Macaca mulatta: one gene and its partner. The protein of the gene in region 2 purifies or fractionates together with the protein of the main gene of each other region. This does not show direct contact. Links are inferred from orthologs where the notes say so. Each region holds a gene or a part of one and is shown on either strand. Other genes may lie near its edges.

Region 1 (16,617 bases), on a different chromosome or scaffold from region 2:
ACTATTATTAGTATGATTTCTTGAGCAAATAACAAAACTGGCTTCTAAATAACAAGCTGACTTTTTAAAAAATTATACGTTTTTCTGAGATAACTCGAAATGCCAAAGTGGTACAAAATTCAGAGCCAAAAGCCCTAATTCTATTCTCATGACCACTGCCATGAAATGAATGGAAGTTCTAATCTACAAGACCTGATTGCTCAGAACTGATTAAGTTCTCATATCTGATCTAAGCACTGCAGCCAGGAGATAGAATTACTCTGCTTGTCATAACCTGATCAGGGCCCACCCATGGTCAGTAATACCCTCAAATGAGTACCAGACACAGAATAGGAGATGAGAAAAGAATGTTTTGGAAGTTTTACAGGTTAGGGATGCTTTGAGCTGCACAAAGCAAGCAAAAAATGCACAAGACAATAGCTTAAAGAATGGGATTTTATTCTACATGCCAAAAACTATAGATACAAGTAGGTGGCTATTGGTATTTGTCCAGCAGTTTGTAGATGTCAGGCTCAGCCTCTCTGTGATTCGTTGGACTGTTTTTTTTTTTTTTTTTTTTTTTTTTGAGACGGAGTCTACCTCTGTCGCCTAGGCTGGAGTGCAATGGTGCGATCTCGGCTCACTGCAAGCTCTGCCTCCCGGGTTCACGCCATTCTCCTGCCTCAGCCTCCTGAGTAGCTGGGACCACAGGCGCCCGCCACTGCGCCCGGGTATTTTTAGTAGAGACGGAGTTTCACCGTGTTAGCCAGGATGGTCTCGATCTCCTGACCTCGTGATCCGCCCGCCTCGGCCTCCCAAAGTGCTGGGATTACAGGCGTGAGCCACCGCGCCCGGCCCATTTGACTGTTTTTATACTGTCATCATAGGAGCAGCAATAGCTCCTGACTTTCCTTATACATTCCTGGAAAGAGAAACAGGATGTAGGAAGGCAAAGTACGGATAAACTTCTCTGTACATCTCTTGACTGGAACACAGCTGAAAGACCAAGAAGTTAAATATTTCACTTGTGCGGCCTCAACTGTGGAGACAGACAAGAAAAGACAACAGGGTGTTGCATTTTGCTCAGCCCATTTATAATGCTATTTCTTGTGGTAAAGGCTACCAGAAAATCTAGTTAATTCACTCTGGGCCTTCATATATATGTATGTATATATATTATACACACATATGTGCATATTTGTGTATATATATTATACACACATATGTGCATATATATTATACACATATATGTGTATATACACCTGTAATTTACATACACATACATACATGTGTGTATATATGAGAAAATATATACACACTATATATACATACTATATATACATACTAGATATACATACTAGATATACATACTATATATATATATGTTCTTTCTGCCTGGATTTATCTTGATCTCCCCTTTGATCTTTGCTAACTCTCTTGTTATCCTTCAATTAATTATCAGCTTAAATTTCCCCTTTTCAGAAAATTATTTCTTGGGCTTCCTGCCCTAGTTTGTCTTCTCAACCATTCTCTATCAATTTAACCAAGTCATTTATTTAAATGAAACTTTTTTTGTAGAGATGAGAGGTCTTGCTATGTTGCCCAGGTTGGGCTTGAACTCCTAGCCTCAAACAATTCTTACATGTTGGCCTCCTAAAGTGTTAGGATTACAGGTGTGAGCCACTGTGCCTGGCCCATTTTTTTCATGTATCTTATCCAATCATATAATTTGTATTTGAAGTTTCGTTTGTACCTTTTTGTTGTGCTCTATCAATGCAAAGTTTATAAATAGGCCAAGCGTGGTGGCTCACGCCTGTAATCCCAGCACTTTGGTAGGCCCAGGCGGGCGGATCACGAGGTCAGGAGATCGAGACCATCCTGGCTAACACGGTGAAACCCTATCTCTACTAAAAATACAAAAAATTTAGCTGGGCATGGTGGTGGGCACCTGTGGTCCCAGCTACTCAGGAGACTGAGGCAGGAGAATGGCATGAACCCAGGAGGCAGAGCTTGCAGTGAGCCAAAATGGCACCACTGCATTCCAGCCTGGGTAACAGAGTGAGACTCCCTCTCAAAAAAAAAAAAAAAAGGTTTATAAATAAACTACTTGAGGCCAAGAGCCATCTTGTTTAATTCACCAAATTGTACCAGTCCCTAGCACAAGTCAGCCATATCGTTGAAGTTCAAGAAATCTCTATTGAATAAATACATAAACAAAATAATTTATACAGCAAACAGGAATCTGTAAGATTTTTTAGTATAAAGTTGGTGGGCTAATAGAACAGACATGAAACTGTTTAGATATGGGAAAATATGTAATATAGTTAAGAGCTCCAAACCCTGAGTAGCTGAACCAAAGAATAATTGGACAAATAAAGAGATAAGGAGGGATGTTTTAGACCCCTCAAAGCAGACAACAACAGCAGCAATAAAAAAACAAAGGTGTCTGTTCAAAAGAAGGCTATGCTTCAGCATGGCTTCTTCTAAATCTGTTAGCCTTTCATGCGATTCATATCAGCCCTCTTCTTTGTCACATCTTTGAGGAAATTGACTGTGTCTTCAGCCAGCATGCGTTTTTTTTTTTTTTTTTTTTTTTTTTTTTTTTTTTTTTTACCTAGCCTCTAGTCAATTCTGAAATTTATTTCCCTTCTCCTTTTTACTCTATTTATTTTGAGAAACTCGTTGTGCAGCCCCATATGCTTGTGTGTGTGGTCACACAGCAGAGCCCAAGACACAAAGAGAGCCTCCTCCCGACTTCACCCCTCCGCACACCGCTTTCACGTTGTTAATTGCTTCTCATCCTATTGAATCAATTTATGCCTCACCTCTCTAGGGCAGTCTGAGTCGTGTGCACCTGTTTGTGCCTCTTTAGGCCCCACACTTCTCCTAGGATGGCACTCACTGCACTGAAGTGTAATTATTTTTATTCACCTGCTTCTTTCAATTCAGTGAATGCTCAGCAAGCACAGGACAATGTCTATTCTGTTCACTCTTGCATCCCTACCTCCTAGCCCTGCATCTGCAGCATATTAGGCACTCAGTACGCACTCTGAATGAATGCATAAAATAGCGTGTAGTAATTTATACAACTATAGCAGGGTCCAAGGATGCCAATTTCAATTCACTCTTGCTAGTACAGGATATTCATTTTTATTATATATTTGATCAATTCATATAGACAAAGTATCTTTACTTAATTAGTGAGATTGTATTTGTTTTTCATTTTGTGTTTACTATTAAGGCACTGACCTCTCTGTGTCCTTGGCCCATTTATCTAGTAATAAGTTGTTTCTTTTTTGCTTTTTTAAAAAATATATACTTTATAGGACAAATGTGCACAACGTGCAGGTTTGTTACATAGGCATACATGTGCAATGTTGGTTTGCTGCACCTATCAACTCATCATTTACATTAGGTATTTCTCCTAATGCTATCCCGCCCCTACCCCCACCCGCCACAGGCCTCAGTGTGTGATGTTCCCCACCCTGTGTCCATGTGTTCTTGTTCTTCAACTCCCACCTGTGAGTGAGAACATGCGGTGTTTGGTTTTCTGTCCTTGTGATAGTTTGCTTAGAATGATGGCTTCTGGCCAGGTGCGGTGGCTCACGCCTGTAAACCCAGCAATTTGGGAGGCTGAGGCGGGCAGATCACGAGGTCAGGAGATCGAGACCATCCTGGCTAACACGGTGAAACCCCGTCTCTACTAAAAATACAAAAAACTAGCCAGGCATGGTGGCTGGCACCTGTTGTCCCAGCTACTCAGGAGGCTGAGGCAGGAGAATGGCGTGAACCTGGGAGGCGGAGCTTGCAATGAGCCGAGACTGTGCCACTGCACTCCAGCCTGGGCGAGAGAATGAGACTCTGCCAAAAAAAAAAAAAAGTAAAGCAGAGGTAATGTAGATAGGTATAAATTAGCTAAAGAAAAAAAAAAGAAGGCAGAAAAACAATGGAGGCAAAAACTTGTTTCAAAAATCATTGCTACAAACACTCTAACAAAATAATCCAGTACCTAGTAGTTTTTCTAAAAAAAAAAGTGATCCACTCATCTCGGCCTCCCAAAGTGGTGAGATTACAGACATGAGCCACTGCGCGCCTATCCTACATTACCTCTACTTTATTATTATTATTATTATTATTATTATTATTATTATTTTTATTTTTATTTTTTGAGATGGAGTCGTCCTCCATCTCATTTATTTTTTGAGATGGGGTTGTCTCGCTCTGTCGTCCAGGCTGGAGTGCAGTGGTGCGATCTCGGCTCACTGCAAGCTCCACCTCCTGGGCTCACACCATTCTCCTGCCTCAGCCTCCCGAGTAGCTGGGACTACAGGTTCCAGCCACCACGCCTGGCTAATTTTTTTGTATTTTTAGTAGAGACGGGGTTTCACCGTGTTAGCCAGGATGGTCTCATCTCCTGACCTCATGATCCACCTGCCTCGGCCTCTCAAAGTGCTGGGTTTACAGGCGTGAACCACCGCGCCCTTTATATTGGCTAATTGTTGTCGGCCACATATGGTTTTGTTTTCTCATGTGGATGGGTAGGTCTTTTCGAATATTTTGAGTTACTTCACTTATATAACAAATATTTATCAAATGCATCCATTATGGCCCATCCTTACATCAAGTATCAAGGAAACAATGAACAGGATACAGACAACTCTAACCCTTAAGTATGTAACAATCCAGGAGGAGAGAAATAAAAGGCACATAATTATAACCAGTATGTGTATTTTGAGTGCATTGAGAACATGGCTGTGCTTAGAGGTTAGGGAGAGCGTTCTCCCAGTAAGTAGTGTTCATGAGTTGGTCAGGTAAGACTCAAGTTGGAGAAGGACCTAAAAGGGTTTTCAAGCACAGGAAATATTTAACTGCATAAGAATTTCACTTAAAACATTTCTATTTAATAATGATACTGCTTACAGTTATTTATTTCCTCTCAGGACAGCTTATACTAGGTGTCTTTATATTTTATATTAAATTTGCAAAGATCCCTTTTCCCTTCATGTCTTTCATAAAATGAAATTAACAAATTGAAATATGTTTGCAGGTGTTTGTGAAGAAATGAGGTTCTAGCTGGCAGGTAGAAGTTCACATGTTATGGGGAGTTAGGAGAGCCTCTCCCACCCACAGCAGTCTGGGCTTCAGCACACTGTCATGTTGGACTGCAACACTGAGGACCTGCTGACCCCTTCCCCACTGACCCATCCCCGGACCTTGTAGGTGAATCTTTTGGTAAATGTTTGACCAACTCTCCAGTCTTTCCATGTAGAGCCCAGCATGAAAATCCAAGGGAGCTGCTGGGTGCTCCCTCCCCGTGCCCAAAGCTGCTATCTCTGCAGGATCAGGTGTCATGAAGTAAACTCATTTTACATCTGGAAGCCTCTTTCTCTAGGTCTGGCTGCCTCCTAGGCAGCATCGGGGAAGAGTCGCTCTGCCCCATGCCTTACTCCTTTCTCACATTCTGACATTCTGTTTCTCCTGTAAAGGCTAGGTCTTCTATGGCCTGGCTAGGGTGCTTGTGTGAATGAACTTGGGACAGCTTTGGAAAGGGTGGTTCTCCGTGCCTCTCACAGCAGAGAGGGAAAGTGGACACAAAACAAGGAGTTAAATGGGGATGTAAAGGGACTGTTTGCCTAGTGATTTCTGGGCTTGACTGCAAGAAGTCCACAGGGGTTACAGCTCCTGCAAGGCATCAATCCAGCAGTGAGGGGAGTATTAAGGCATTAGAGAAAATGACCAGCACTGTGTGTGGCAGGAACAACAGCCCATAGTCCTACTCCAGAAACGAAACATCCTGGATATCCCCACAATTTTAAATGATAAGGGGCAGATTTATTTTGATTCTGGAGAAACTTTTTGATGGGTTGTGGGGAGGTAAGATTTCTAAACAATCCTAACACTTTTGAAGAGGTGAGACGTTCACATTGGTTTTGTGTAAGAGGTGCCATCAAAGCCAGGTCACTCCTGCCTGGGTGATTGCAGAAATGTCCCCCTTTCCCCACAGAACCCCCTTGAAAGACTTCACCAGAAGCTTTTAAACTGGGATGGATTTCATCTCAGCACGAACAGGGGCTTCAGCATTTCCAGCACCCGCCCCCACCTGTTAAGTAATGCCAGTAAGTGTTGGGAATTCCAGCTCCCAATCCAAATTATAATTCCCTCACCCTAATAGGACTCCCAGTTTACTTCTTTGAGGTGTTATGTGACACGTGTCCTCTTCATTATTAGTCTTCCACAGAAAAGTTTCTGGCTTTGGCCAAATGGTCTTTCCCACTCTTTTGTAGTTTAAAGGACTTCTGTTCTTATTAAAGCCCCTTTTGTCCCCCTTACCCCTTGCAGGACTAAAAATTCACAATGAGATTTTCCTTCAGGCATTGCCCCTAAAGCCCACTTGCAGCCCATCCCATCCTCTGAGGATTACCTAGTGGCTCACCGCAACTCAAGGGCTGCGAGGCCCGAGACATCCTGATGGGCAACCCACCTCCCTCTCTTAGGTGTCTTGTGTGTTTGTCAGAGAAAGCACCTTCACCTCCAACCCTCAGGAAAGATTGTTTCCAATCCCAGCTTCACTGCTCAACAGGAATATCACTTTATTAGGTTAATTAATCTCTCCAAAAGTAAGTTTCTTAATTTGCAGAATCAGAATGATATTGCTTTCTCCAAAATATCCTAAGAATTAGAAAAATAAAATTCCTAGCCTTTTTGTATGTGTGGCCCATGAACCCATGTGAGTGTGGGCTCCCACATGAAATTTCAATATAAAGTTAAAAATAAATAACCTAAAAACCACAGGGTGTAGGGGAGTTGAAGGCAGGTGGGGACAAATGTGGACTCTGGATTCATTGTGAGTTCTAGTCCTAGCGCCTTCTCTTATTAACCTGTATGAGCTATGGAAAGTCCATTACCTACATTATTCCTGTGTTTCCTCCATGGTGCAGAGGCAGTTCTTGCCTGCCTGACAGGCCTGTTGTGAGGATTAGATAAAAGGAGAAAAATACACGTCAGGGCTCATGTACAATGTCTCACTCTTTAAGTGCCCACAAAGCATCTATTAATTTTGATAAAATGTAGAAACTTAAGGGAAGGAAATTATTTTTGGTTTTTATTCCCATAGGATGTGATTATGGACAATCTTACTGTTTTGTTTTTTATGCTTTTCTATATTTGTGCATGTTTTTGAAATAAACATGAGTTAAAGACAAAACTACAAACTTCACAAATTTAGGAGTAATCATGAGTAGCGATTTTTCCCACCCCATTAGGGGAAATAGTTATATCTGTGTATACTGTAAAACAGAGAATTGTCTCATTCCCAACCATACTGCTTTGTTAAAATGATAACGTACACTTCCAGAAATGATTGTATCACAAGAATCTTTAATGTTTACTTTAAAGTTGACTCACGGTGGGGTTGTATATGTGTTTAGTAAAGTGTGCCAAGTGCTCTCACATTGAGACCAGTCCAGTTCAAATTAGTTTACTCCACGAGGATGTTTTCAGTCCCCAGCAAGGTCATGAGGGCCTTGACATTTCTTGGTTAGGCCGGCTTTGCTGGTGAGTTTTTCCAAACTCTGCAGGAGCAGTCTACCCCAACACACATCTCAGTCCCATGTAAATTAATAAGATGGAAACGTTCTCAATGTACTTCATCAGTTTAGCACGTCTCTGATACAAAAATCCAAGAAAGGTACCACAAAAGCGAAAGCACCAACCAAGCTTACATATAAACAAACATGCATACATCCTAAATACTACACAATAGTACCCAAATGAACACAACATTGCATTAAAGGTATAAAAGCACTGTACTGAAAACGTAAAAGTTACACGTGAATACTGCACTGTAAATCCTGAACACTCTAATGACCCACCCCCACCCTTCCACAGCCCTGGTGAGGATCAGAAAGCATTCATCTGCCTCCAGACTTGGCTAGTCCTCGGAGACACTGCTGCGAGGGCAGTGGGCAGCGGGATTAGCCTCCCGCAGAGCTCTGGCCTCCTCCAGAGCCTCTCTGTATCGGGAGGGCCAGGCCTGGGGGTCTTTCTTAAAGACCCTGGCCAGGAACTCCATGATTTGCAGCTTGGTGATTTCGCGGCTGGCCCGGGAGCCCCAGAAGAACTCGTACTCGGGCGGCTCCACGTACGGGACGCGCTGGTACTTCAGGTAATTCTGCTGGACGAACTCCTCAGTGATGAGCTTCCGCACGTCCCCGAAGGTGGAGTGCTTCTTCCAGGGCCGCAGCCCCAGGATGCGGAGCACGTTCCAGACCGCGCTCTCTCTGGCGCCGCGGCCCTTCACGTAGATGAGGCTCAGGATCATGAGGAGGAGACCTGTCATGGGCATGCGGTTGCTCAGCGCCACCCTGTCCAGCTCCTCGGGCTCCAGCGCTTTGACCAGCGCAAACTCCATGGTGTGCAGGCTGGTTAGCCTCAGGTGCAGCCCGAACACCCGGGCGAGGATGAGGCTGGTGCGCCGGAGGATGCTCCTGCACCACTTCTTGTAGCTGCCGATGACATCTTTCACCATGTCTGGAAACCAGATGATCATCTTCTTCTGGTCCTTGACCAGCACGTACCACATGAGCTCGTGCGCCTTCTGCACCAGCTGCGCCGGGGCTGGCGGGGCCGGGCCGGGCTGGGCCGCGCTCGGGGCCTGGTGGGCGCGGCCCTCCTCCGCGGCCTGCTGCAGGGCCTTCGGGTCGTCCTCGTCGCTCGGGGCCTGGGGAGGCTGCGCGGCCTGCGGGGCGGCCGTCGGGCCTAAAGGAGGGCTCTGCGGCTCTGCCAGGGTCTCGGACGGAGGAACCCCCTCCGGAACCCCAGGGCTGCTGTGCACCTCGGAGCTGGGGGCCTCGGCTGCAAAGTTAGGGTCGCTTAGATCCTTACTTTGTTCTGACATATCTGCGCCGTCTGGCAAGGGCAGGGCCTCTGCGTCCAGGAGCTCTTCAAGCCTGCGCTCCCTCCGCGGATTCCTGGAGAGGAAGTGCGCGTTGCTGTGCGCGGCGCCTTCCGCAGCGGCGGGCAGGGCGGGGCGGCGGCGGGACGCGGCACTGCGCCTGCGCGACTGCGGCCTTGGCCAGCGGCTGGGGGCGGGCGGGGCAGCGCGGAGCCCCGACGGGGAGGGTCCCTGGCTAAGCTTCACCTGCGGAGAGAGCGATCCCGGGGTTTCCCGTTTGGGCTGAGGGGATCTAGGGCAGGAGAAGAGTGCGATGGATGCGTACTGGAGAAGGGGCCAGTTTAGGAGAAAGATGATAACTTAAGTTTTTGGGATGTTGGGGTCAAGTTTCTTGGGAAACGCTTACCTGATATATCCAGAATTAAGTTAAATATGAGCGTCCCAGAGAAAGGTCTGGGCGGCTGTGTAAACTTGAGCTTTATGCGAACGAGTGAGAGGAACAGTCGGGCTTGTCCAAGAAAATGTGTAAAGTGTATGTCTGAAGTTGGAATCCTGAGAAATTCCAATAAAAAAATGATTGACTCCCTCCCTACCAAATCAGAGGGGTTGTAAGAAAAGGAGAAATGCAGCGTGTCCTTAACGTAATTTCCTGTCAACCCATGTGAACTATGAACCTTTTAAGTAGGCAGCGGACTTAGAGCATCATTAATGCTTTAGTGGGCATAAATTTGAGTTTTACATTTCCTTTGGGTCACTTTGATTCCATTTTATTTTTTTCCATACTTAGTCCACAGCAGAAGGATTGCTATATCTTTTAGCACAAACTTGTATAATAATGTCTTTTTCCCTCTGCCCAGCACCCTTATTCTCCGATTCACCTTCTCCCAGGACCCTCTCTGAAGCTACTGAGTCCTCCACGTTGGAAGCCACACCCAAGTCCTTCCTGAGATTTAAAAAAAAACAACTAGGTCTCATAGGTAATATCTGGTAGTGTCTCTGAGATGACCCAAGGGTAGCAGGGGCAACATGGGTAACCCTGTTTTCTAAGTATAGAAGACAGATTCCCACTGGGCAAAGACAAAACTCGCTCCTACAGGGTCTCCCTGAAAAAAGGGTCATTGGTGGAGCCTCTGAAACCAAGGGCCTTGATGCTGCTTCAGCATCCTTGGTCTGGGCTGATGTGGTCCTTCAGCGCTTCCAGCGTTTCTTCTCATCAGTAGCTTCTTAAATATGTTGAGTCTAATTATTGCCACTCGAAGCCAAAAGCACATTTAAAAATTGTCTTAACATGTCTAGAGTCCTCGCTGTGAGTATGTATCTTTTCCCACTTGTCACTTTATTTTTCCTCAAGCAGGTTGATGTTGAAGGGTTTTCTGTGCTCTCTCTCTTTGGGTTTGCATGCACATAACACTTTTGGCAGAGCCATTCCCACACCAGTCCTTCCAACAGGCTCTTTAGCTTCCCACTTCACCAGGGTAATTCCTAGATATCAGTCTTAGTTGGAATTATTTCAACACTTTTCTCCTTCTCCTCTTCCTCCTCCACCTCGTCCTTCTTCTCTCCGTCTACTTCTCCTTCTCCTTCCTCTATTTATGGATATTTACCACTTTCTTGGGAGCATCTTACAGAAATATGCTAATTCATTGTTTTGTAATCCCAGCACTTTGGGAGGCCGAGACGGGCCGATCACAAGGTCAGGAGATCGAGACCATCCTGGCAAACACGGTGAAACCCCGTCTCTACTAAATAGTACAAAAAAACTAGCTGGGCGAGGTGGCGGGTGCCTGTAGTCCTAGCTACTCGGGAGGCTGAGGCAGGAGAATGGCATAAACCCGGGAGGCGGAGCTTGCAGTGAGCTGAGATCCGGCCACTGCACTCCAGCCTGGGCGACAGAGCGAGACTCCGTCTCAAAAAAAAAAAAAAAAAAAAAAAAAATGTCTCTTGAACAGACTTATTGCCCCCATGCTTCTTAAATATAATCCTCATTTATTGCATTTAAATCTCCATCAATATTCTTCTTTATTTTATTTGGGTATGTATTATTTTCTAACTATTTAAATAAAATATTTAGGCCAGGTGCGGTGGCTCACGCCTGTAATCCCAGGACTTTGGGAAAGCGAGGCGGGCAGATCGCCTGAAGTCAGGAGGTCGAGACCAGCCTGGACAACATGGCAAAACCCTGTCTCTACTAAAAATACAAAAATTAGCCGGGTGTGATGACAGATGCCCTTAATCCCAGCTACTTGGGAGGCTGAGGCAGGAGACTCACTTGAACCTGGGAGGTGGAATTTGCAGTCAGCTGAGAGCATGCCACTGCACTCCAGCCGGGGCAACAGAGCAAGACTGTCTCAAAAATTAAATACATAAAGAAAAAAATATTTAGTTCGTTTGACATTTTTTTAATAATAAAAGTGTTTGAACCTACTATTTAAATCTCAACTTAGCTTTGGCCGTAGGCTATGGTTTTTAACATTGTGATCTCATTCAAACTACATTCTCACATTTCACCCTCCGAGATGTAATGGATTCTTGAAACTAAAGTACAAGCTTTAGGGCATGACAACAATAAAAGGTGGCTCTGCTGAAGTGAGTGTCAGTGCTTTGGCCAGAGAGCTGCTTGGATTTCAGTTGCTGCCTGGGCAGGACTGGATAATGGAGCTTCTACCTGGACTTCGTTCTAGTGAAGTTGCCAGCATCAACAGACTGTGCAGAAAGGCTCTCCCGCGGCACACAACACACTGCGCTTCTGGCAGAAGGGTTGTCCAGTGCTGTACCTGGGCCTGTCGATGGAGACCACCCTGAGAGATTACACTCGGAAGGCTTAAAGCCTTGGGTGTGATGCATGAGTCTAAAACGAAGCACAGGCTAGATCTTGGAGCCCAACTGTACATCTACTAAAATGGTATCATCTTCCTCCTGAGGAATGAAGAGGTTCAATCCCCGCCCCCCCGCCAAAATCAAATTAATGGGAGTAGGAGTTTGGGTAGGTGGGGTAGTGGAACAAAATAAAGCCTGGGATAGCCTGTAAGTGGGGAAAGCAGGCATGCACATGTGCAATGAGATAGATGGGTCAGTAGCTTGATGGCTTCCTAATAAAGTATGTGCCCATGAGCCAGAGATTCTGACCTTCAGAGTAATAACAGAAAGGACCAAAGACACTGTGAGAAATGAGAGGAAGCTAGTACTTGGGAGGCATCCACAACTACCTTGACCCAAGGCTCAAGACCTGGGGCGGAGCTCTAATGCTGTCCTGAGGGTCATGGGATAAATACATCTTGCTGGGTGTCTCCAGGGGAACCCCTATTTGAGATGGGCAATAAGTCCTCTCAGGGCCAGCAGCTTAGCGGAAAAGTGTGAAGACTACAAAAATATATCTCAACTACTCATTAAATCAAAATTCTGTAAATAGAAGTTCTGTGAATAGATACAGAATATATATGGAGAAGCTGTAACTTAAAATATTCTGGAGCAGACAGTTTTGCTGGTGGGTTACTTCGAACTCTGTAATGTGGAACAGATTACACAGCTGTGGAATAGGCTGTTCTTGGCAGACCCAGGAACAGGAGGAGAGGCCAGTCCCAGCCTTGGTTTCCATAGTGAACAGAGAAAGGGGGGTTACCCCAGAGCCTCTAGTGGGCAGTGCGCATGCTCGCAGTGCAGGGACCCAGAGGCCCTGGATGAAATGTGAATCTTCTGGCTCTTCCCTGTCCACATACGCAGCAGCCTCCACCTTGGAGCCCCTAAACGGGCCCCAAATGCCTTTCAGGCCAAGGATCTTAAGCAGAGAATTCACTTTAATGTGTTCAGTAAATATTGAGCAATACCTGTCATGTGCCTGAAATATTTGCATTTCAGAAAAGTAGCTCAGTCTGAGGGAAAAACCCATTGCAGCTGGGCCCCTGTTTTTGTTAGAAAACATTAAGAAGTGAGGACAGGCAGTGCTGCTTTACAAACTTGGGAGGGACCGGCCCCTGGCCTCTCATCCCCAGCCTCCCTAGGGGGCCACTGCTCATGCTCATCCATTCGCGGTCCATCGCATTCCCTGAAATGGGAGACCTTTCAGTCCTGCCCAGCCCCAAGGAGCAGCTCTCTCAGATAGTTAAAGAGACTAGGGTGTCTTCTGAAAGGTCACCTGCGTACAGAGTAAGGTTAGAGTTTGGGTCAGCTGGACAAGCAGAGGCAGAGAGTCCTTAGGGGCCCCTTCCCAGGAATCCATGTGATGGGCGATGGCTTGCATTTCATCTTCATTCGTCAACTGTTTACCAACATTACATTACATGTCAGGCCTTGTGCCTGGGGATACAACGAGAAGAGACATGGTCTCTGTAATCTGTAGTGAGGCGAAGTGGTGGAGATAAAGAGCCTTAAAAGAGAAAGCAAATGCCTGATCAGATAATCATATGTCATGATGCATATCGTGAAGGAACAGCAATATTATCACCGAGAGGGGGACAGAGGGAGCTGAGGTTCAATAGAAAGGCCAGTGAAGATATAAGTAGCAATGGAAGGTGAGGGGAGACTGTGAGTAACGGGCACATCCAGGATTCTGTCTCCGGCAGCCAATCGAGCAGGACTGCAGCTAGGAAATGCAGGTGCTGTTTCCTGAAACCATGTGGAGAGAAGGACCAAAAGATTCTGGGAAGACTGAACGGTCATACCCAGCAGATATCTGGAGTGACACAACTCAGCAAAAACGCCTGTGCTGGAAAGAGAAGTTTGGAAGTTAAAGAAGATAAATCACATCACCCTGAGAGTGTCTAGAGCAGGGCTCTTTGATGATATGAGGATGGCGTAATGTTTCATTGTCTGAGAACATAGCACACACCACAGAGGCTGTCTCCCTTCACATGCACACATACATGCCCTCCAGACATGAGAAAACCAACAGGAAAGTGGAGAAAAGAGAAAAGACACCATCCCCACACACCACCAAAAGTCCTTTTATGGGCAGTGCAGTCCCCAGTTGAGAACCACAGAAAATAACAAGCAGAGAGGAGTGAGGAGAGACAGGCGTAGCAATAGGCCAAGGTGATTTAAGCCTCTTTCCAGACTCTCCTATGACCATCCCAGTTGGAGCTATTTCTGGTACATATTAAAATCACTTGCCTCATCTTAAACACTCTTCTCTAAGATAAACTCTATTCAAGTGGATGTTGGGTTCCAGTTTGTGCTGTATTACTCCTTTTACATGTCAGTGGATTTAATTTGGTAATATTTAGCTGAGGGTTTTTATTTATATGCTCACCAGAGATATTGGTCTATAGTTTTCTCTTTCTGCGATATCTGTATCTGGTTTTGACTTGAGAGCCTCATGAAAATACTGGTCCCTCCTTCTCTTCAGCTTTATGGAATAAATTGTGTAGAATTGTCTTTATTTCTTCTTCAAATGTTTGGTAGACATTTTCAGTGAAACCATCAGTGCCTGAATGATGGTTTCAGATGGTTTGTAACTATTTGTTTTAATTGTAAGCCTATTCAGATGATCTTTTCATAATGGATGGATTTTGGTATTTGTGGTCTTAGGGAGTTGGCTCATGTATTAGTCCATTCTCGAATTACTATAAAGAGCTACCTGAGACTGGGGAATTTCTAAAGAAAAGTGGTTTAATTGGATCATGGTTCTGCAAGCTGTACAGGAAACATGACTGAGGAGGCCTCAGGGAACTTATAATCATGGTGGAAGGCAAAGGGGAAGAAAGCACATCTTACATAACCAGAGCAGGAGGAGGAAAGCCAAGAAGAAGGTGCCACACACATCTGAACAGCCAGATCTCGTGAGAACTCACTCACTATCATGAGAACAGCAAGGGGGAAGTACCCCCCCAACCCAGGACCCAATCACCTCCCACCAAGCCCCTCCTGCAACATGGGGGATCACAATTCGACGTGAGATTTGGGCAGGAACACAAATGCAAACCGTGTCTGGCCATTTAATCTAATTTGTCAAATTTATGTGTGTCGTGATGTTTGCAGTTTTTCATGTTATCCTTTTAATGATAGATTTATCTACCAAGCAGCCTTGGGTTTCTTAACTATATTGGGAACACACACGTGCAAATACATACCACACACACACACACACACACAAACGCACACGCACCACCCATGCCATGGCTGTTCTTCCAGATAGCCCTGAGTCCTCAGGGTACACCATAGACTTCAGGGATCGCTGAGAACTCTCTTCGCCTTTTCAGATCTTTTAAAATATCTTTCTCCAGCCATTATCTAAAAGTTGAAGTTTCTAGTGGTCCTGTCTCACCTCTTCTGTTCCTGTCACCTTGTGTTCTGAGCAACACCATCTCCCAGAGCTTGAATTTTACATCTATACACAAATGAGTCCAAAATTCATTTCTCCAGACTAAGATGTCTCTTTTTTTTTTTTTTTTTGAGGCGGAGTCTCGCTCTGTCGCCCAGGCTGGAGTGCAGTGGCCGGATCTCGGCTCACTGCAAGCTCCGCCTCCCGGATTTACGCCATTCTCCTGCCTCAGCCTCCGGAGTAGCTGGGACTACAGGCGCCCGCCACCTCGCCCGGCTAGTTTTTTGTATTTTTTTTAGTAGAGACGGGGTTTCACCGTGTTAGCCAGGATGGTCTCGATCTCCTGACCTCGTGATCCGCCCATCTCGGCCTCCCAAAGTGATGGGATTACAGGCTTGAGCCACCGCGCCCGGCCAGATGTCTCTTTCATGTTCTATAACTGGATATCCAGCTGCCTAAAGGTCATCTTAACATTGTGCCTTTGAGGTTTTTTTTGTTTTTGTTTTTTTTTTTTTTGAGATGGAGTCTCGCTCTGTCGCCCAGGCTGGAGTGCAGTGGCCGGATCTCAGCTCACTGCAAGCTCCGCCTCCCGGGTTCACACCATTCTCCTGCCTCAGCCTCCCGAGTAGCTGGGACTACAGGCGCCCGCCACCACGCCCGGCTAGTTTTTTGTATTTTTTTAGTAGAGACGGGGTTTCACCATGTTAGCCAGGATGGTCTCGATCTCCTGACCTAGTGATCCGCCGGTCTCGGCCTCCCAAAGTGCTGGGATTATAGGCTTGAGCCACCGCGCCCGGCCAAGTTTTATTTTATTTTATTTTATTTTTTGAGACAGAGTCTCACTCTGGTTGCCCAGACTTTAGCGCAGTGGTGTAATCTCAGCTCACTGCAGCCTCAACTCCCCAGGCTCAGGTTATTTTCCCACCTCAGCCTCCTGAGTAGCAGGACTACAGGTGTGTGCCACCGCACTTGGCTAAATTTTCGTAATTTTAGAGATGGGTTTTTGCCATGTTTGCCAGGCTTGTCTTGAACTCCTGGGCCCAAGTAATCCACCTGTCTCAGACTCCTAAATTGCTGGGATTACAGGCATGAGCCACCATGCCCAGCCTGAGTTATAAATTCAACATTTTACTCTACTTCCTCAGTATCTGCCTGAAACCTTCTGCTGCCAGTGTGTTCCCTGCCTCACAGTACATGGCATAGCTGTCCACCCAGGGTCTCGAGGAAGAAAAAGGATGCCATTGATTCTCTTGTATCCTTCATATCTAGGTAATCACATAATTCTCACCTTCTATAAGCCATTCACTGCCATCCATGACTATATTCCACTCACTGTCATCCATGACTGTATTCCACTGCTCTTTCACCCTTGGTTCACCACTGAGGACATCCTCTGTGCCTTCTCACTAGTTTATTCACTTGCAGTTTATTTTGCACACTGAAAACAGTACGTTTTCTGAAATTAAAACATTTCTTCCTTATTTGTCTC
Region 2 (16,363 bases):
TGGCTCACACCTGTAATCCCAGTACTTTGGGAGGCCAAGGCAGGAGGATGGCTTGAGCTCAGGAGTTCAAAAGCAGCCGAGGCAACATGGCGAAACCCCATCTGCACGAAACATACAAAGTAATTAGCCGGGTGTGGTGGCGTGTGCCTGTTGTCCCAGCTACTCTGGAAGCTGAGGTGGGAGCATCACTTGAGCCAGGGAAGTTGAGGCTGCAGTAAGCTGAGATTACACTGCTGCACTCCAGCCTGGGTGACAGAGCAAGACTCTGTCTCAAATTTTAAAAAATAAAAAATAATCAATAAGAAAGTACAAGTCTGTCTATGGCACTTCTATACTGAAAACACCCCAGTGGCTCCCCAGTGTTCCAAGAATATAGTCTGGACCGCCTAGTGTGTCTCTTCACAAGCTCTCCCCCATGGGGCCCCACTGATTACCTTCCTACTCACTCTCTGGGCTCCAGGCCCCAGAGCCTCTCCAGGCCCTGTGTGTTTTGTGCTGGTGCCCGCCAGGGCCTTTGCTGAGCCGGTTCTTCTGCCAGAAGCACTCTCCCCCTGACCCCTCATGTTAACTCCACTCATCCTTTTTTTTTTTTTTTTTTTTTAAAGACAGAGACTGGCTCTGTCTCCCAGGCCAGAGTGCAGTGGCGCGATCTAGGCTTACTGCAAGCTCTGCCTCCTAGGTTCACGTCATTCTCCTGCCTCAGCCTCCCGAGTAGCTGAGACTACAGGTGCCCACCACCACGCCTGGCTAATTTTTTGTATTTTTGGTAGAGACAGGGTTTCACCATGTTAGCCAGGATGGTCTCGATCTCCTGACCTCGTGATCCGCCCGTCTCGGCCTCCCAAAGTGCTGGGATTACAGGCATGAGCCACCGCGCCTGGCCAACTCCACTCATCCTTAAAGACTCAGCTTCCTATACCTTATCTGGCAAACCTTCCCTGACCCCTGGTATGGGTGGGTCTTGCTTAGGATCCCCCACTGTTATAGCAGTACACACCACATAGGGCCTGTCTGCTCTAGCTCGCTCAAGAATGTAAGGCTGGTGAAGGCAGGGATTTGAGTTCTCCTTATTTCACAGGACAGCATCTGGTTTTCCCCCACCAGACAAGAGACTGGGCAGAGTGGAAAGCCACTCTTAGGTCAAAGAGTATATTTCCCCATCAGCATGGGGGCACCCTTAGGACAGGAGGTGTGCCTCCTTCATCAGGTTAGAATATCCTCAATTCTGGGACTGTCTCCTTCATCAGATGGGAGCCTCGCTCAAGACAGAGATTGTCTTTTCCATCACACTGATTTTCCAAGTACCAGGATTATTTCTCTTACCTACTCTGAATTCCTCCCGCAACACCTTCCATCTTCCTTTCGCCCCTCACAGTCTGGGGGCGCAGGAGGGGAATGGAAGACAGGGGACCTCCCCTCCAACCTTGTCTGACTCTGACTGGGCCTGGCTGGCCCTTCTCCCTGGATCTGGAGGTCAGGCGGACTTGTTTGCTGTTTTTACTGAAGAGCAAGCCTCCCTTTGTCTTCCTCAGTGACCACAAGCCAGTCTTGGACTCGGCCAAACCACCAGCAGGGGCTGAGGCTGAGCCTCAGAGACAGGCACAGGCCTGGGGCCAGGAGCCCTGCAGCCGTGGGAGCTCCCAGGCCTGGGCCAGGCGGGGCTCGAAGCCAGGCTGTCAGGAGCCTGGGTTAGGACCTGCCCATGAGAGCTACAAGGGAGGGGGCCTGCCTGCCTAACTCCAGGCCAGGCCTGCCTAATGCCTCCTGCCAGGCCATCTGGAGCCAGATCTCTCTCTCTCTCTCTCTGTGGTGTGTGTGTGTGTGTCTCCCAAGCCATGTGGGTGGCTGGGAGCTGTGGGGTTGTGACCTGGCCCTCCTGGGAAGCCTCTGACTCACCCGTGGTCAGTTTCACTTCTGACATCTGGTCAAGTTCACAGCTGGCCAGCTTCCTGCATGGCCATTTTCACTTTCCCTCTCCAAGATCTGGGAGCAAAGAGCCCCTTCTCCTTCCCCAACCCACCCCACCCCATAGTGACACATGGGAACTTACTGGCTTTCTGTTAAAACTTCCCCTTTTGGTGTGGGGTAAAAGAGGGCAGGAATTGACCGAATTGGAAATTATACCTGGGTCCCTGGCACACACCCCACCCCAAACAATTCAAACCATGTGTATTTCCAGAAAATCTCTTTGTACTATTTTTCTTTCTTTGCTATTTAATGTTCATCACTTATGTTTTATGTGTAAGTTTCAGGAGGACCCAAGAAATGATTACACAGGAGGCAAGGAGGGGAGATGACAGGAGGGATGCTGGGGGTCTGGAGCTCGTGGCCCCCAGTTGGGGGGCCAAAAGGGTTCCATCTCAGCCCAAGGGGAGTAAAAAGGGGCCCCAGAACCAAACACATGCTAAAACATACTTGCCAGCCCCCAAAGCCCCTCCCCACGTGCTGGGGAGGAAAATAAATACACTCAGACTCTGTCCCACTCCCCAGGTGCCCAGGTGAGGGGCCAGCAGGTGAGTTTCCTCCCCTCATCACAGATTGAGGTCAAAGAATTGCCATTTACTACAATGCTCCTAGTCCCTTCCACAGGGCTGGGGGAACCCTGGGCTGGGGAGGGGTGGCTGTCAGCGCACAGCCTGCCTGGGGCTTGTCATGCTAAATAGAGGAGAGCCACACTCATTCCAACATCAGGCAAAACAGAACAGGCCAGGGAGGGGGTTGAAAGTCCACTGAGGCCTCATGGCCCCCTTCTGGCCAAGCTCAGGAAAAAACAGTCCTTTGCAGGCTTGTCTAGAGCTGGGAGAAATCCCCACGGGTCACAGTCGTTGCTTCTTGCCGCATTCCCACACTGGCCCGCTTTTCTTCATGACAATCTTGTGGGCCCAGCCAACCCCATACTTGCAAGGAAGGGGAGGATGGGGGAGCATTCCTCCACGTGTAAGCCCTTGAAGACAGACGCCAGCTCCAGCCTCAGCAGTCCTTGGCCCGCCAAACCCGGGGGCGAGTGAAGACGGCTGAGCAGACCTCAATTCCCTCCGATGCTTCTCTGGCAGCTGCCCCGGGCAGGATCCGGTCTCAGCCCAGGAGAAAGAACTCATGGAGAAAAGTGAGATTTCTCCTCCTGTGTGTATGTGTGTGCGCGTGCGTGTGTGCATGTGTCTGTGTGTTGCAAGGTGAGGGGTTCTTGGTCCCTGACCCCTAGGCTGATTCTAGGGGCCAGTGTTAGCTCCGGGTCTGTGCCTGCCGGATGGAGGGCAGCAGACTGGAGCCATGCCACAGTTGTCACACGGGCATGCTTGACAGGGACAGGCAGAGGGAAGCAGCACCCTTTCCACAAACCCCAAACCTGACTCCATCATGGACCAGGCCCTGGGCAAGCATCCCATCTCCACGGGTGGGCGGGCAGTGGGGAAGGGGTGGGGGTCTGGAGACAGTGGAAGGCAAAGCTGACTTGGCTTCAAGCCATTTCTCAGAAAGTCACCTGCCACCCTCCCCTCGCCCTCAGGCAAACCTGAGGCCCCTCATTTAGAGAAGACGGTGCCGGCCTGCACTTGGCCTCCCCATTGCTGTGCAGCTTTGGGCGAGTCACGGCCTCTCTCTGGGCCTCATTGACATATATGCAAAATGAGGGGAGTGGGCTGAGCTTCAAAACCCCCTCCCAGCTCTGACAGGCCTCTGATCCTCTTCATCTTAGGCTGGGGTGGGGGGCGAGAGGGGCTGAGGGAGGGTTGAGGCCACTGGGATGCTACCCTTGCTCCCCAAGTTCACAGTGTAGAGTCCATGGCTCTGGTTCCTCGATTCTTCCCTCTGAGTCTCTGGGGCCTTGTCACTTCCCCCAGTACCATCCCTGGTGTCGGTCCCCCAGATATGACACCTGCTGTGGTGGGAGGGGCTGGCCCACCTTGCAGTGTGGGAGGAGGGGGCAGGTGGCCTGAGATGGTGACGGGGCAGGGGCAGGGTGGGGGAGGCAGCAGGGGCACTTCTCTCTCTGGACAGGGAGTGTGGTCAGAAGTGAAGGGGCCACACGGGCTGCACCGACAGGGCTGTGGTTTTGGGGCCTGGACTCTGAGGTCCTGCCCAGAGGAGCTCAGTTCTGCCAGGTGGGCCCCCCACAAAGGGTGGGGGTGCGGGCTCCACAGGGGTTGGCTGGAGCATCGGTCGTCGGAATGTGGGGCGGGGCGGGGACTCCCTGGTTGGGCTCACACCGGGGACGTGGCAGTGGACTCACTGCACAGACTCTCCACGAGGTCGGCTCGCTGGATGCGGCGCAGGGCGGCCAGGAGGGCGTCCAGTGTGGCGCTGTCCTGGGTGGCCCAGCTTGCAAGCAGGGCACGAACGGGGCAGGCCTCGTGGGTAAAGGAGTCTATGTGCTCGGGCTGGTAGCCCAGCTCGCCCGCCAGGTGCCGCCAGGTGTCCCCCGCAGACCCGTTGAGAAGCTTCTCCACCTCCTCCCGCTTGGCTGGGGGCAGGCTGCTGTAGAGGCCTCCATCACCCTTGAGGGCTGCAGAGAACCCAGAGGAGAGTCAGGTCCTACCCCTGCACTCCTTTCCCCAACAGTGGGTGCTGGGATAAGACCCAAGGTGGGCGGTGGCAGTGCTCCTCCCCATCGAGAGGCCTAGGGCCAAGCCAAGGTCCTGGGTGGGACACCAGGAAGTGAAGGCACCTGGGGGGACTCGTTGTCCCTTCCTCCTGTCACTCCAGCCCAATCCCTACCCCCATCCCTCCTCTCCTCCCCCCCAGCAATTAATCATGGCAAAGGAGGAGACAGGGCTTCTCAGTTCCAGACATCTACAGCAAGTGTCCCGGAGCTGGGCTATGGGCCACTAATTAGGGTACACACTTAACTACTTGTTCCCCAGAAGTCCAGGGCAGGAGGCTAATTGCAGCTACTTTGGGCAGTAATTAGCCCCCAGGGGGGACAATTAGCTTGATGAGTCTGGATGCTCCAACTTGTAAAAGCCTCCATTTCCCAAGTCCTTTCCCTGGAGAGGGCCTCTCCTTCCCATTCCCCTCAGCCAGCCTCTCCATCCATCTACAGGGGCACTGCTGAGCCAGCCCTGCCTCCCCCTCCTCCCACAGTCCTTCCTGGAGTCTAATCTTAACCGCTTCTGTTTCCTCAGCCTCAGCTCCGACTCAGCTCCTCAGCGGGGCCCCTGCTCACCCTGGCCCGAGGCCGTCTGCGTGTGGGACTGCTGGTCATGCAGGCTCTGGCTGTCCACGGAGATGCCACTGTCACTATGGAGTTTTTCTCCCTCTGGTGGGGGCGTCTGGTTCACTGGCCGGCTGTTGGCTCCTTGCTTGTTCTGCTTGCAGCTGTTCCACCTGGAGCCAGAGGACAGGCCAGGTCTCAGGGGGCGGGGGCCGTAGCGGCGGATGCAGCTGAGGTATCTGTGCTCTGCCGTGCGAGGGCCAGGGGCATGGCGGGTGCCCAACTGTAACCGCCACCCCAGCATCTAAGGCTCCTCTTTGCACATCTGCCCCCCACCTACCCTGAAAGCTCCATGAGGGGCCCTCTGTAAGTGTTCAGTAAATGTTCCTGGAATGAGCAGTGCAGCAATAAGTGACTGCTCAGGAACTCCTCTTCTCCCAATCTACCCTTCTAAAATACTCCCACATGTGGGCAGTGATACATACAAGGATTTCCTCTGCAATTATAAGCAATAACAAAAACCTGGAAAAAAAAAACAAATGTCCATCAATAGGGGACTGGCTAAATAAATTACCATCCATCCATACTATTGAATGAGTGGTTACAAATGATCAGCTAATCTACATTCCTGAGGAAAGGTCTCCTGAGGGAGACTGAGTGAAAAAAGTAAGCTACAGAATATGTACAATGTGATCTCACTGATGCCTAAAAAGCCCTCCATGTTTACATGTAATTATAAAAGGTTTATATACATGTTTATAAAAAACACACACAGAAAATAGTTGGGAAGGATCCATTTCAAACAGATTCCAATAAGGAGAGGAGTAGGATTTGGGAAGATAAAAGGGGGCTTTTACTTTTGCTTTGAAAGATATTGGTCTTGTTTGCATTTTCTTAAACATGCATGTGTTACTTTGATGATTTTTTTTTTTTTTTTTTAGAAAGAATGGAAAATGCATTTAAAGCTTTAAAACGCCTTCTGGGAGTTCGTGCACATCCTGAATTCCTGGATGTGGGTGCCACAGCATTCCCAGTGTGACAAGGGAAGGGGAAGAGACGTATGCACACGCAGGTGGCTGTGGGGTGAAGGAGGTTGGGGGATGAAGACACAAGCAGTTGGGGGCTAGGGAATCAGGGAGTGGTACGGCATGGGAGTGGGAGGGGCTGGAGCCAGAACAGGGCAGGAGAGGACAGGACAGGACAGGGGGGATCCTCTCCCCTCACCTCCTGCTGACCTGCTGCACCCTGGAGTGGGGCAGTGGATGATGAGTGAGGAGGAGCTTGGTTTGGGGTTGAGTTAAAAGGGTATGTGTACAAGAAAAAGTTTTCCAACTGAAAAAAAAAAAAAAGGGTGTGTGTGTTTTCAGGTCAAGGTCACAGTAAAGTCTTCCTTGAGGGCAAACATCTCCCCTCTCTGTTGCCACTGTGCCCTCTCTTACCTCTTGAAGGCTATGTAGGCCACAAGGCCCACCACCACAGCAGCCAGGATGGAGCAATAGACGGGGATGAGGTTGTCGGTGGTGCCTCGGGTTACCACGGGCTGGGAGCTGCCCATCACTGTGGTCACCACATCTGCCACCGTGCTGGCTATGAGGTCTTGTTCTGGAGGTGCCTCAGGCTCCTGGGTGCTGGTGGCTGTGCTGTCAGAGCCTTCGGGGGGTGTGGACCTTGTAATCCAACGGCCAGGGATCTCTGGGAGAAAAGGCCACAGGAGTGAGGACCCACTTCCCCCGCCCCTCCCTTTTAGCTGTAACCCACTGCAGTGTTCTTCCTGTGTCCCCGCCCTGGTTCCGGGTGCTCTTGTGCCCAGCTGTTATGCACAGTGTGGGGGCTGGGATTGTGTGCATGATGTCATGACGCTAAAGAGCAAGGCCTGTGGGCCCACAGAGCTGCATCTCCTTCAGCTTTGCCACTGACTTGCTGGGTGACTCTGGCCCAGCCGCTTTTTCTCTCAGAACCTCGATTTTCTTATCTATCTAATGGGGCTATTAAGAGAGACGGTCTCTAAGCTCCCTTCCATCTGGGGCTATGGTCCTGGAATTCTATTCCACCTCCCAGGGTACCTAGAGAGGCCTGTCTGGGAGCAAACACACAAAGCCTGACCACAGGGAGGCCTCGAGCTGGAATCACTCCAGGAAATGTCTCTCTGGCCCCAGCTTGTCCTAGATGACCCCAGTCACCCCCGTCCTAAGGAAAGAAGAGTGTACACAGGTCTGGTCAGAGAGGTGCTTTCCCCACACCACCTCCTTGAGAGCATTCCCTAACTTCTTGACCTCATGTCCTGGGCTCTAGGCTTGGGTGGAGAGGAGTGGTGCGGGGGCAGCTGGATTGCCTCCCTCCAGCCAGCCCTGGGACAGTGGCCAGCCTCTGTTTCCTGCCTTGTCTGGCTCCCACCTAGCCTGATCCTGCCACCCAGAGACGACAGCGTCAGGTAGCCCCAGCCCTCCTTGGTCAGGAAGCAGAGAGCCAGTGGAGAGGGGGCCCATGAGGCAGGTCCAGCCCAATGCCTCAGCCCCAGGGGAGACTGTGACTTGCCACCCACCGAGACCCTCTCATGCTAGCTGGGCATTGCCAGCCTCCCTGGCAGGGGACCCAGCCCTTCCTGGCACCAGTGGGTGGGATTTTCCATTCTGCCACATAGCTAGGGGCAGTGCTAGTGGTTGTGGGCTCTGGACGGCCTGGGGATACTTGTCTGGGCAAAGTTGCCTACCCCGTCCCTCCTCGCTTCCCACACCTGGGGCAGGGAGCGAAAGCAGAACAGGACATGCCAATGGGGTGAAGGGGAGGGTACCTTGCCCCCAGCTCTGCCCACTCTGGTTCCTCGATTCCTCCTTCTGAGTCTCTGGGGCCTTGTCACTTCCCCCTAGTACCATCCCTGGTGTCAGCCCCCCAGATATGACATCCGCTGTGGTGGGAGGGGCTGGCCCACCTAGCAGTGTGGGAGAAGGGGTCAGGCGGCCTGAGATGGTGACGGGGCAGGGTCAGGGTCAGGGAGGCAGCAGGGGCACTTCTCTCTGGACAGGGAGTGTGGTCAGAAGTGAAGGGGCCACACGGGTTGCACCGACAGGACTGTGGTTTTGGGGTCTGTACTCCCAAGCACGAGTGGAAGCTGCCACCCATCTTCTGGCCTCTTACACTCAAGATGAAAATGCTTCAAAGGCCCATTTTCAGCACCTTCTGAGGGGCAAAGCCCCCAGATGTGAATCTAGAATCCATCTGGCTGCCAGCGGTGAGGGGCTGTGATCTGTCACCCATCCCACCCTTCCCCGTCTCAGTCCTGGGAGGGGCCAGAGGGAGTGAAGGAGACGGAGCCCTGTCTTCTGGCAGCCCCAGGTGGAGCGTTGGACTGGGGAGTGTCTTCTCTTGCTCTACCAGGGGACTGGGCAGGCTGGGGGGCAGCCAAAGTCCGGAGGTTGGAGACACAGCTCAGCTCAGACTGACCCCAAGCCAGAGGCTGAAAGAGTATGCATGTCTGTGTGCCCGTGAATGAGACCATCACTGAGATCAGAGCACAGTAGTGGAGGGCTGGGAGGGTAGCAAGGCATGGCCAGACCAGAGGCGGCGCTGACTCTCGGGGAGCTTCCCTCATCTCTCCAAACCCCTCTGATGAGGGCAGGAGGATGAGATCCAGATGTGGCCATGTCCACTAGCATTCCCCCGTACTAAGCCCTTGGCAGGTCCTGACAGCCATTTCCGGGCTGGATGGAGGGACAAGATTACCCCTAAGCAAAACGAATTTCACTGGGGCAGTGGGGAGCCCTTCTGCCCTAAGGGTGGGTGAGTCACCATGTTGACACCTGAAACTTATATGCAGGGGGGAAAGTATGGTAAGCTGGAGGGGAGGGGGCACCCAAACCAAGAATCAAATTCCATTTCCTGAAATGGTCCCTCGTTCCAGAGCTGACATTTAACCCTTCAGAGCCTGAAGCTGAAAGGGGAACAAGGTCCAGGATGAACACATTCCCTCAGGAGCACCCTCCTCCTTTGGGGTGGCTGGGAAAGTGGGCTGGGATCTGAGAGGAATCTGTGAATGCCCCAAACCACAAAGCCTGCTCCTCCCGCAGCCACCACCTTTCTTTGCTCTGCAGCGCCCCTAAGTCCCCCCAACCCCGCCCGCAGCTGGCTGGTCTGGACTTGTCCACAGAAATGTGCTGCCCGCTTCCCTGACGCCTGGCTGCTGAAACCCTCCCTGCGCTCTGCCTGGTGCCTGATGCCACTTGCCTGTCTCCTGGCCCAGGGCAATTGCCACCAGAACTACCACATCCTACTCCTACTCCTCATTCCTTCTCCAAGGCAGGCAGCTTTGAGTTCAACCTGGCCTTAGCCCAACAGCCCTCCCCATCCTGAGCTCCTAAAGCCAAAGATCACAGGACTTGGAAGGCAGGTGTGGGATGTTGGAGCCCCTATCAGACTGGAGGGTCCCCAGGGGCAGGAGATCAGGTGCTGACTGAGGCAGAAGCTCTGCTGCCTCCATCAGAATGGGGGATTTCTAAAGTGAGGGCTGTCTCTCCTTCAGCTGGGGACTAAGTGCTGGGACCACGTCTCTCTCATTAGACTGGGCGAAGGCTATCTCTCCCATCGAACTGGGGGCTCACTGAAGGAGGTGCTGTATTGCCTGCTCAGGGTAAAAGCAACCTGAGGATGAAGGTTAGGTCTTAAAGGGAAATAGCTCAATGTGTGCATGGCCACAGGAGGATAAGCAGGATGTAAAGGCGCTGCCAGCCTCTCCCTGAAGTGGAAAAGCCCACCCGTCTCCCGAGACGGACGTCACCAACCAGAGACCAAAACAGCTCTGCCCTGGCTCCCATGGGGCTTCCTCCTCCCATCCCTGGAATCACCCCATCTCCTTTGGGCCTGTGCCTAGCTAAGGGCACACTCAGCTCCCATTCACCCCTGGAACTGACAGCCACGAGCATGCACTCCCTTGTCCCCGGGCTTTTGAGCCCCAGGTCTGCCCCCCCTTCTTCCACAGAGCCCCTCCTTGGTGTTCCCTGCACGCCCCTCATCCTTCACTAAACTGCAAAACACGGTTGACCCCTCCCCTAGACAGGGCAAGCTGAAGTGGGCCAGCCCCACTGTGCTCCCTAACCTGCAACAACCCTGGCAACCATATGACCAGTGAGGAAACTGTGGCCCAGAGACAGGAGTGGACTCCCTAATGTCAGATAAGGACAGGGTGGGTTCCATCTCAGGTCCCAGAGCCAAAACCCACCATGGACCTAGACCAGGGCTCAGAGTCAAAGGGTCCCAGCTCCTGAGGGTCCTCCAGCTGTTCTTCCAGTTCAGAAAGCCTGCCTCATGGATCAGACCCCTCGTGTTCTGTGCTGTGCCCTGGGGGTAGTGGCCACCTTCGAGCTGCTTGCTGTTCATCTAATCACTAGCGGGCAGTCACAGAGAAATGAGTCCCCGAGGATGAGTTACATGTAGTACCCGCGGCCTGGGACAATGAGAACCCCCCACTTTCCAAACACTTAGCCAAAAGAAGGAAACAGTGAGAGGGGTTCTCTGGTGAGACAGGATCGGGAACGACGTCCTCCCTCAGGTTACCAGGAAGGGACTGAAGCTCAGGGAAGGTGCACGCTGCCTTAAGGTCACAAAGCTGCCCCAGCAGGCCAGGCGGGGTCTTTGTCGACCTCCAGAGGGAGCCCTTCCTTATGCCCCCAGCCCACCCCCGCACCCCCTACTGCCGGCTCCCTAACAGCGCTCACCCTCGCACTCGGCGTCGGCCCAGCGTGTGCACTCGCGCAGCTGGCGCTCGGTGTCCTCGCACACGGTGCAGGGCAGGCACGGGTCCACGTGGTTGGCCTCATCTGAATACGTGCCGTCGGGGCACTCCTCGCACACGGTGTTCTGCTTGTCCTGGCACGAGAATACGAGGCCCGAGCCCGCCTCGCACACGCGGCACGCCTCGCAGCGCCCGGTCGTCTCGTCCTGGTAGTAGCCGTAGGCACAGCGGCACACGGCGTCGTCGGCCTCCACGCACGGCGCCGACATGCTCTGAAGCCCCACGCACTCAGTGCACGGCTTGCACGGCTCCGTCGCGCTCACCACGTCGGAGAACGTCACACCTGAGCGCAGCGGACACCAGATTTAGTCGTCTGCTCTTTGGGCACCCGGGACGCAGGAGCCTGGAGTCTCTCCCTCACCCACTGCCTGCCAGGACGCTGACTTCCTCCTTCAGCTTCGCCTTCTCATCGACTCCCACCCTCTTCCAGGGGACTTTGACCCCTAGCCTGGTGAAAGTTGGTGGCAGCCAATTGGGTAAGGGGAAGGAGGCCCGGAGCCGCTTCCTTCAGCCTCCAGAAGCACTGGCCGGCCAGGAGGGTTTCCCGGATAACCCAGCTGGTGCCAGTAAGTTTCTTGGCAAATTCTCTTTGAGACTTCCCAGGCCTGTAGGGTGTTCCAGCATGATTAACGAATAATCTGAACGTGGTTCCCACCCAGCCCTCCCCGCGGGCCAAAACTGGGCTGCTAACCCAGTCCAGGCAAGGTAGGCCTTCCCCTAGGGAGCCTCCTGCCTCATCTGCCTTCAGTTCCTCTTCACACAGGTGTGGGCTCAGATGCACCCTGAATGAGAGTGACCGGGGTTAGACAGCAGAATTTCCCACCCGTGGCGCTACCCCCACGCTGCTGAAGGGCTTGGCTCCTGAGGGTGGGGACGGACCAGCAGGCAAGAGGGTTCAGGTAAGGCAGGAGCCACTGAAGCTAGAGAGCTGGCTCTTAGCCCACACTGAGTCTCTCAGATGGATATTGTTGAGCAGTACACAAGCTGCACAACTGTATATGATCACCCCTTTGAGATCTGCACATGCGTCCTCTGCCCTTTCAGCCAGCATGCAAGGGAAATGTCCAAGCTCATTCTTCACTCATGTTTTCTTAATTAGTGGATGTGCACTCCAGAATAAGGAGAAGGAGGCCAGACATGCCAGGGTCCTTGCCTCCTTGTACAGGGAGGGGAAGGAGCAGGGCCAGATCTTCTTCACCCCTTCCAGCCTTGGGTGGAGAACTCTGTGCCAACCTGGATCTGGCAGAACCTATCCTTGCTCCAAGGACAGAAAGAACATAGATTTAGGAACCTGAGAACTAGGGAAGGACAGATTGTTCAGAATGTGGAAGCAGAAGCAGAAAGGCTAAAGCACCATTGGGGTAAACTGAGGCCTGTTGGGGGGTGGGGTCTTAACATTATTCAAAGGTGTCAGAGACAAGATGGAGCAAGGGGTCACTGGCTTGGGGGCTGTGGTGGGGGGATAGGGAGGCAAAGAAGGAAAAGCCAGAGAGAAGTGAAAGGGGCAGAATTGCGGACAGAGCCTGGGCGTGGTGGCTCACTCCTGTAATCCCAGTACTTTGGGAGGCCAAGGCAGGCAGATCACTTGAGGCCAGGAGTTCAAGACCAGCCTGGCCAACATGGCAAAACCCCATCTCTACAAAAACTACAAAAATTAGCTGGGTGTGGTGGTGCACACCTGTAATCCCAGCTACTCGGGAAGCTGAGGTGGGAGGATTGCTTGAGCTTGGGAGGCAGAGGTTACAGTGAGCCAAGATTGCACTAGTGCACTCTAGCCTGGGTGACAGAGTGAGGCACTGTCTAAAAAAAGAAAGAAAAAAGAAGAAGAAGAAAATAGAAAAGGGTAGAGGAGAGAAGGAAAGACCCAGGAAGAAGGGCCTGGAGGGAGACTTCAGTTTCAAGTCAGTTCTGACAGAGGAACCCTGTATCCCTTTTCCTAGGAGCAGGCAGATCTGGATTCAAAATCTACTTCCATCGCTTATCAGCTGTGTGACTTCGGGTGTTTTACTTAACGTCTCTGAGCTTTTTCTTTCTCTGTAAAAATAAGGAGCAATATCTGCAGTCACAGGGTTGTGGTGAGGAATAAATGAAATTCAGCCATAAAGTCTTGGCATGTAGTTGGGATCCTATAAAGACTGGGCCCCATGGGGGTTGGGAGCAATAAGAACAGTGAACTTTGGTGGTAGGAATATGGTCAGACAGCAGAAAGAACGTCCAAACACAAACAGCCAAGGCAGGATGTCTGATCTGTACAAACAAGAGGGTCCTGGCTGGCTGGCATGTGACAGAGGGTAAATCTAGTCACACAGGAGGGGAAAAGGAGAACCCTGCTCATGGCAAAACACAGAAAATTAGCAGAAAACTCCTGGGAGAGGGTTTTAGGTGGTGTGAAAAATGTGGTCTTTTTTGGCAGAGAATGAAGGCAGGGGCTTAATAGGTTTCCTTGTGGAAACGTCTTAAGGATAGAGGGAAAGTCCGCTGGGGTCTCCATCCCATAAAGTGGGCTTGTAAAGGCAGCCTGTTAACGCAGCTGGAGGTGGAGGAGGGGGACACAGGGAAGGAGGGGAAAAGGGAAGGGAGGGAGGAAGTGGAAGGGAGGATTCTCAAAGCCACCTCTCTGCCTGCCTCCCTTCCCTTCCAGAGATTCTGGAACTTCCCTCTCCTGGTGTCCTCCACCCCACCTCCTGCTGAAGATCTTTTGACTGAAGGGAAAGGGTTCCCATCATTTAGGTCCTGGGAGGAGAGCCCTGGGCTGGAGTCCAGGAAGCGAGAGAGGGAGATTTGGAGGTTCTGGGATAGCTGATGGTTGGCCACCCCGCCCTGGGATGGAAACCCTGTTAGGCCAGACAGCAAGATGGCAAAGGCATTGGAGGATGTCCCACCTCCACACATATGCCCAGGCATCTCTTGGCTGGGGAATGGAGTTACAGGATCCATAAGCACAGAGAAGGGGAACAGTATGTCTGGGGAACACCAAGAGTTGGGGTTGCCTTAAGGACAGATAGACTCAGGGGGACATCCAGAGAGGTAATACTATGTCCGCAGGTGGATTCAGAGGCCCCAGCTCTATCCCCTTATTCCCAGCCAGATTAAAGAACAATCTGAGTATGGTTCCCTTGAGCCCTCCAGGTGGGCATCAAGTGCCAGGTAGAAGGCAGGTTCTGAGTGGCAGTCATCAGGAAAAGGGCAGGGAGCCCATGGTCCAAAGGCAGCAACTGCGGACTGGGGGCACCCATCAGGGACCAAGACCCCTGACTCAAAACACGAGGGGATTCAGACCCTGGACAAGACTGGGGCTAAGAGGCCCAGACCCACCAGCCCTGGAAGATGAGATTCTCTCCCCTCCTGAAAGAAATCCCAGGCAGGGTTGAGCTCGGTGGCTCACGCCTCTAATCCCAACACTTTGGGAGACTGAGGCAGGTGGATCACTTGAGGCCAGAAGTTTGAGACCAGCCTGGTCCACATGGTAAAACCCCATCTCTACTAAAAATACAAGAATTAACCAGGCATGGTGGCATGCACCTGTAGTCCCACCTACTCAGGAGGCTGAGGCATGAGAATCACTTGAAACCAGAAGGTGGAGGTTGCAGTGAGTCGAGATCATGCCATTGCACTCCCAACCTGGGCAACAGAGCAAGACTCTGCCAGAAAGAAAGAAAGAAAGAGAGAAAGAGAGATAGAGAGAGAGAAAGAGAGAAAGAGAGAGAGAGAGAGAAAGAGAGAAAGAGAGAGGGAGGGAGGGAAGGAAGGAAGAAAGGAAAGAAGGAAGGAAGGAAGAGAAAGAAAGAGAGAAAGAAAGAAAGAAAGGAGGGAGGGAGGGAGGAAGGAAGGAAAGAGAGAGAAAGAAAGAAAAAGAAAGGGAAGGAAGGGAGGGAGGGAGGAAGGAAGGAAGGAAGGAAGGAAGGAAGGAAGGAAGGAAGGAAGGAAGGAAGGAAGGAAGGAAGGAAGGATCCCAGGCAGGAATGGGCACAGCTCCCCATCTCCCCTCCCCTCTGTCACCCAACAATAAGTACGTCTTCAGGACCCCTATCCCTGCTGCCTCGGGAAAACTCTGCTTCCTGGTCAAAGCTGGAGAAGAGTTGGTCTGTGGGGGAGAGCAGCCACACCCCCAGGATCCCCCAAGGTCAGCCTCCAGGGCAGCCAGGATTTGATCCTCCTCTCCCTTCCCCCAAACACATCAGGGATAAGTGGCAGCCATTGATTTTGCAGTGCAGATGATATTTTTAGCTGGTCTTAGCATCAGCTATTCCTCCCTGCCCGGCCACACTCTTCTACCAGGCCTCTGCCTTCTCAGGAGCTGGGAATGGGCACCCCTTGGAGATCCCCTGTGGGGTTCCCCTCCTCCCTCTGCACACTTCCCTTCTCCATTCTCAGCTTCTCGCATCTGGGAGAAACACCTCCTACACTGGGTCAGACCCACTTCTGGTGACCTTACAGTGGTGGGCAGGGGACCCTTCCCACTTATAAGGCTCTACTGGGCATGCTCCTCCCAGCGCCCCTCCCTTTCACCCCTCTCCTCCTCACCCCCATTCTTCTCCCCTCCTGCTACCCACCACCCTCTACTCACTGTCCAGGCAGGGCTCACACACGGTCTGGTTGGCTCCACAAGGCTGGGCCACACCTTCGCCCAGGTTGCAGGCTTTGCAGCACTCGCCGCCATGTGTGTACAGGCCTGTGGGGCATGCCTCCTTGGCACCTCCAAGGGACACCTGGATGGAGGCAGATCAGAGGGTCAGACTGGCAAGAGAAAGGCGGGGGTCTCTTCCGGGGTATCAAACACCCCCTCCCACTGCCTTCTATTAGAACCACCTGGGCTGGGATGAGCTCACCAAGGAGGCATTAGGCACATCAAAGCTGACAGGGGAAAGGCAAGTGAGGGACAGTATGCCTGTGCAGGCTGCTGGGGGTGTGAGGTCAGAGCTTCAGCTGCTGACCTTCTGCAAAGTTCATCTTGGGGTTACAGCAACTCCTGGAATCCCAAGGATACACCACATGGGGAAGGTGGCCTGAGGCCCAGCGGAGGGCCTACCAACACGGATGTCATCAGTGGTTGGACAGGTTGTAGCTTGCACAGGGCTCCCAGCCAACAGGGCAAGTAGAGCTGAAACCTAGCCCAAACTCCATTCGCTAAGCTTTGACCTGCAGGGCTGCATCTACCCAGAGGAGGGCCTTTTTCTAACAAACGCCAGCAGGGCCCTACTCCAGGTTCTTAATTCCACATATTAAATAATAAATGAGAGATATCCATGCCCAAGAGCAGAAAGCAGAGGGTTAGGGTCTTGGGTTTGAATCCTGAGTCTGCGCTGGGGGTCTTGCCTGCCCAGCTTCCCTCTGAGTCTTCATCTCTTTACAGAGATGGCAACAGCCTGGTGCCAGGGCAAAAGATCAACTGTTTGGCAAAAGCCTGGCACCGAGATGGAGGGAAGGGA

What was found.
Region 1: the proteins of NGFR (region 2) and NDN purify together in Homo sapiens (affinity purification with western blotting; 3 studies listed by BioGRID). This does not show direct contact. The link is inferred for Macaca mulatta from reciprocal best matches to the Homo sapiens genes NGFR and NDN.

Annotation. Positions count from the first base shown.
Region 1 is NC_133412.1:6,258,173-6,274,789, reverse strand, and holds NDN (necdin), read right to left. Parts: upstream 8,990-16,617; 5' UTR 8,876-8,989; coding exon 7,910-8,875; 3' UTR 7,069-7,909; downstream 1-7,068. UniProt on the Homo sapiens protein: Growth suppressor that facilitates the entry of the cell into cell cycle arrest.
Region 2 is NC_133421.1:60,493,677-60,510,039, forward strand, and holds the end of NGFR (tumor necrosis factor receptor superfamily member 16), read right to left. Parts: intron 15,644-16,363; coding exon 15,502-15,643; intron 11,218-15,501; coding exon 10,858-11,217; intron 6,842-10,857; coding exon 6,589-6,841; intron 5,323-6,588; coding exon 5,162-5,322; intron 4,502-5,161; coding exon 4,200-4,501; 3' UTR 2,197-4,199; downstream 1-2,196. UniProt on the Homo sapiens protein: Low affinity receptor which can bind to NGF, BDNF, NTF3, and NTF4. Forms a heterodimeric receptor with SORCS2 that binds the precursor forms of NGF, BDNF and NTF3 with high affinity, and has much lower affinity for mature NGF and BDNF.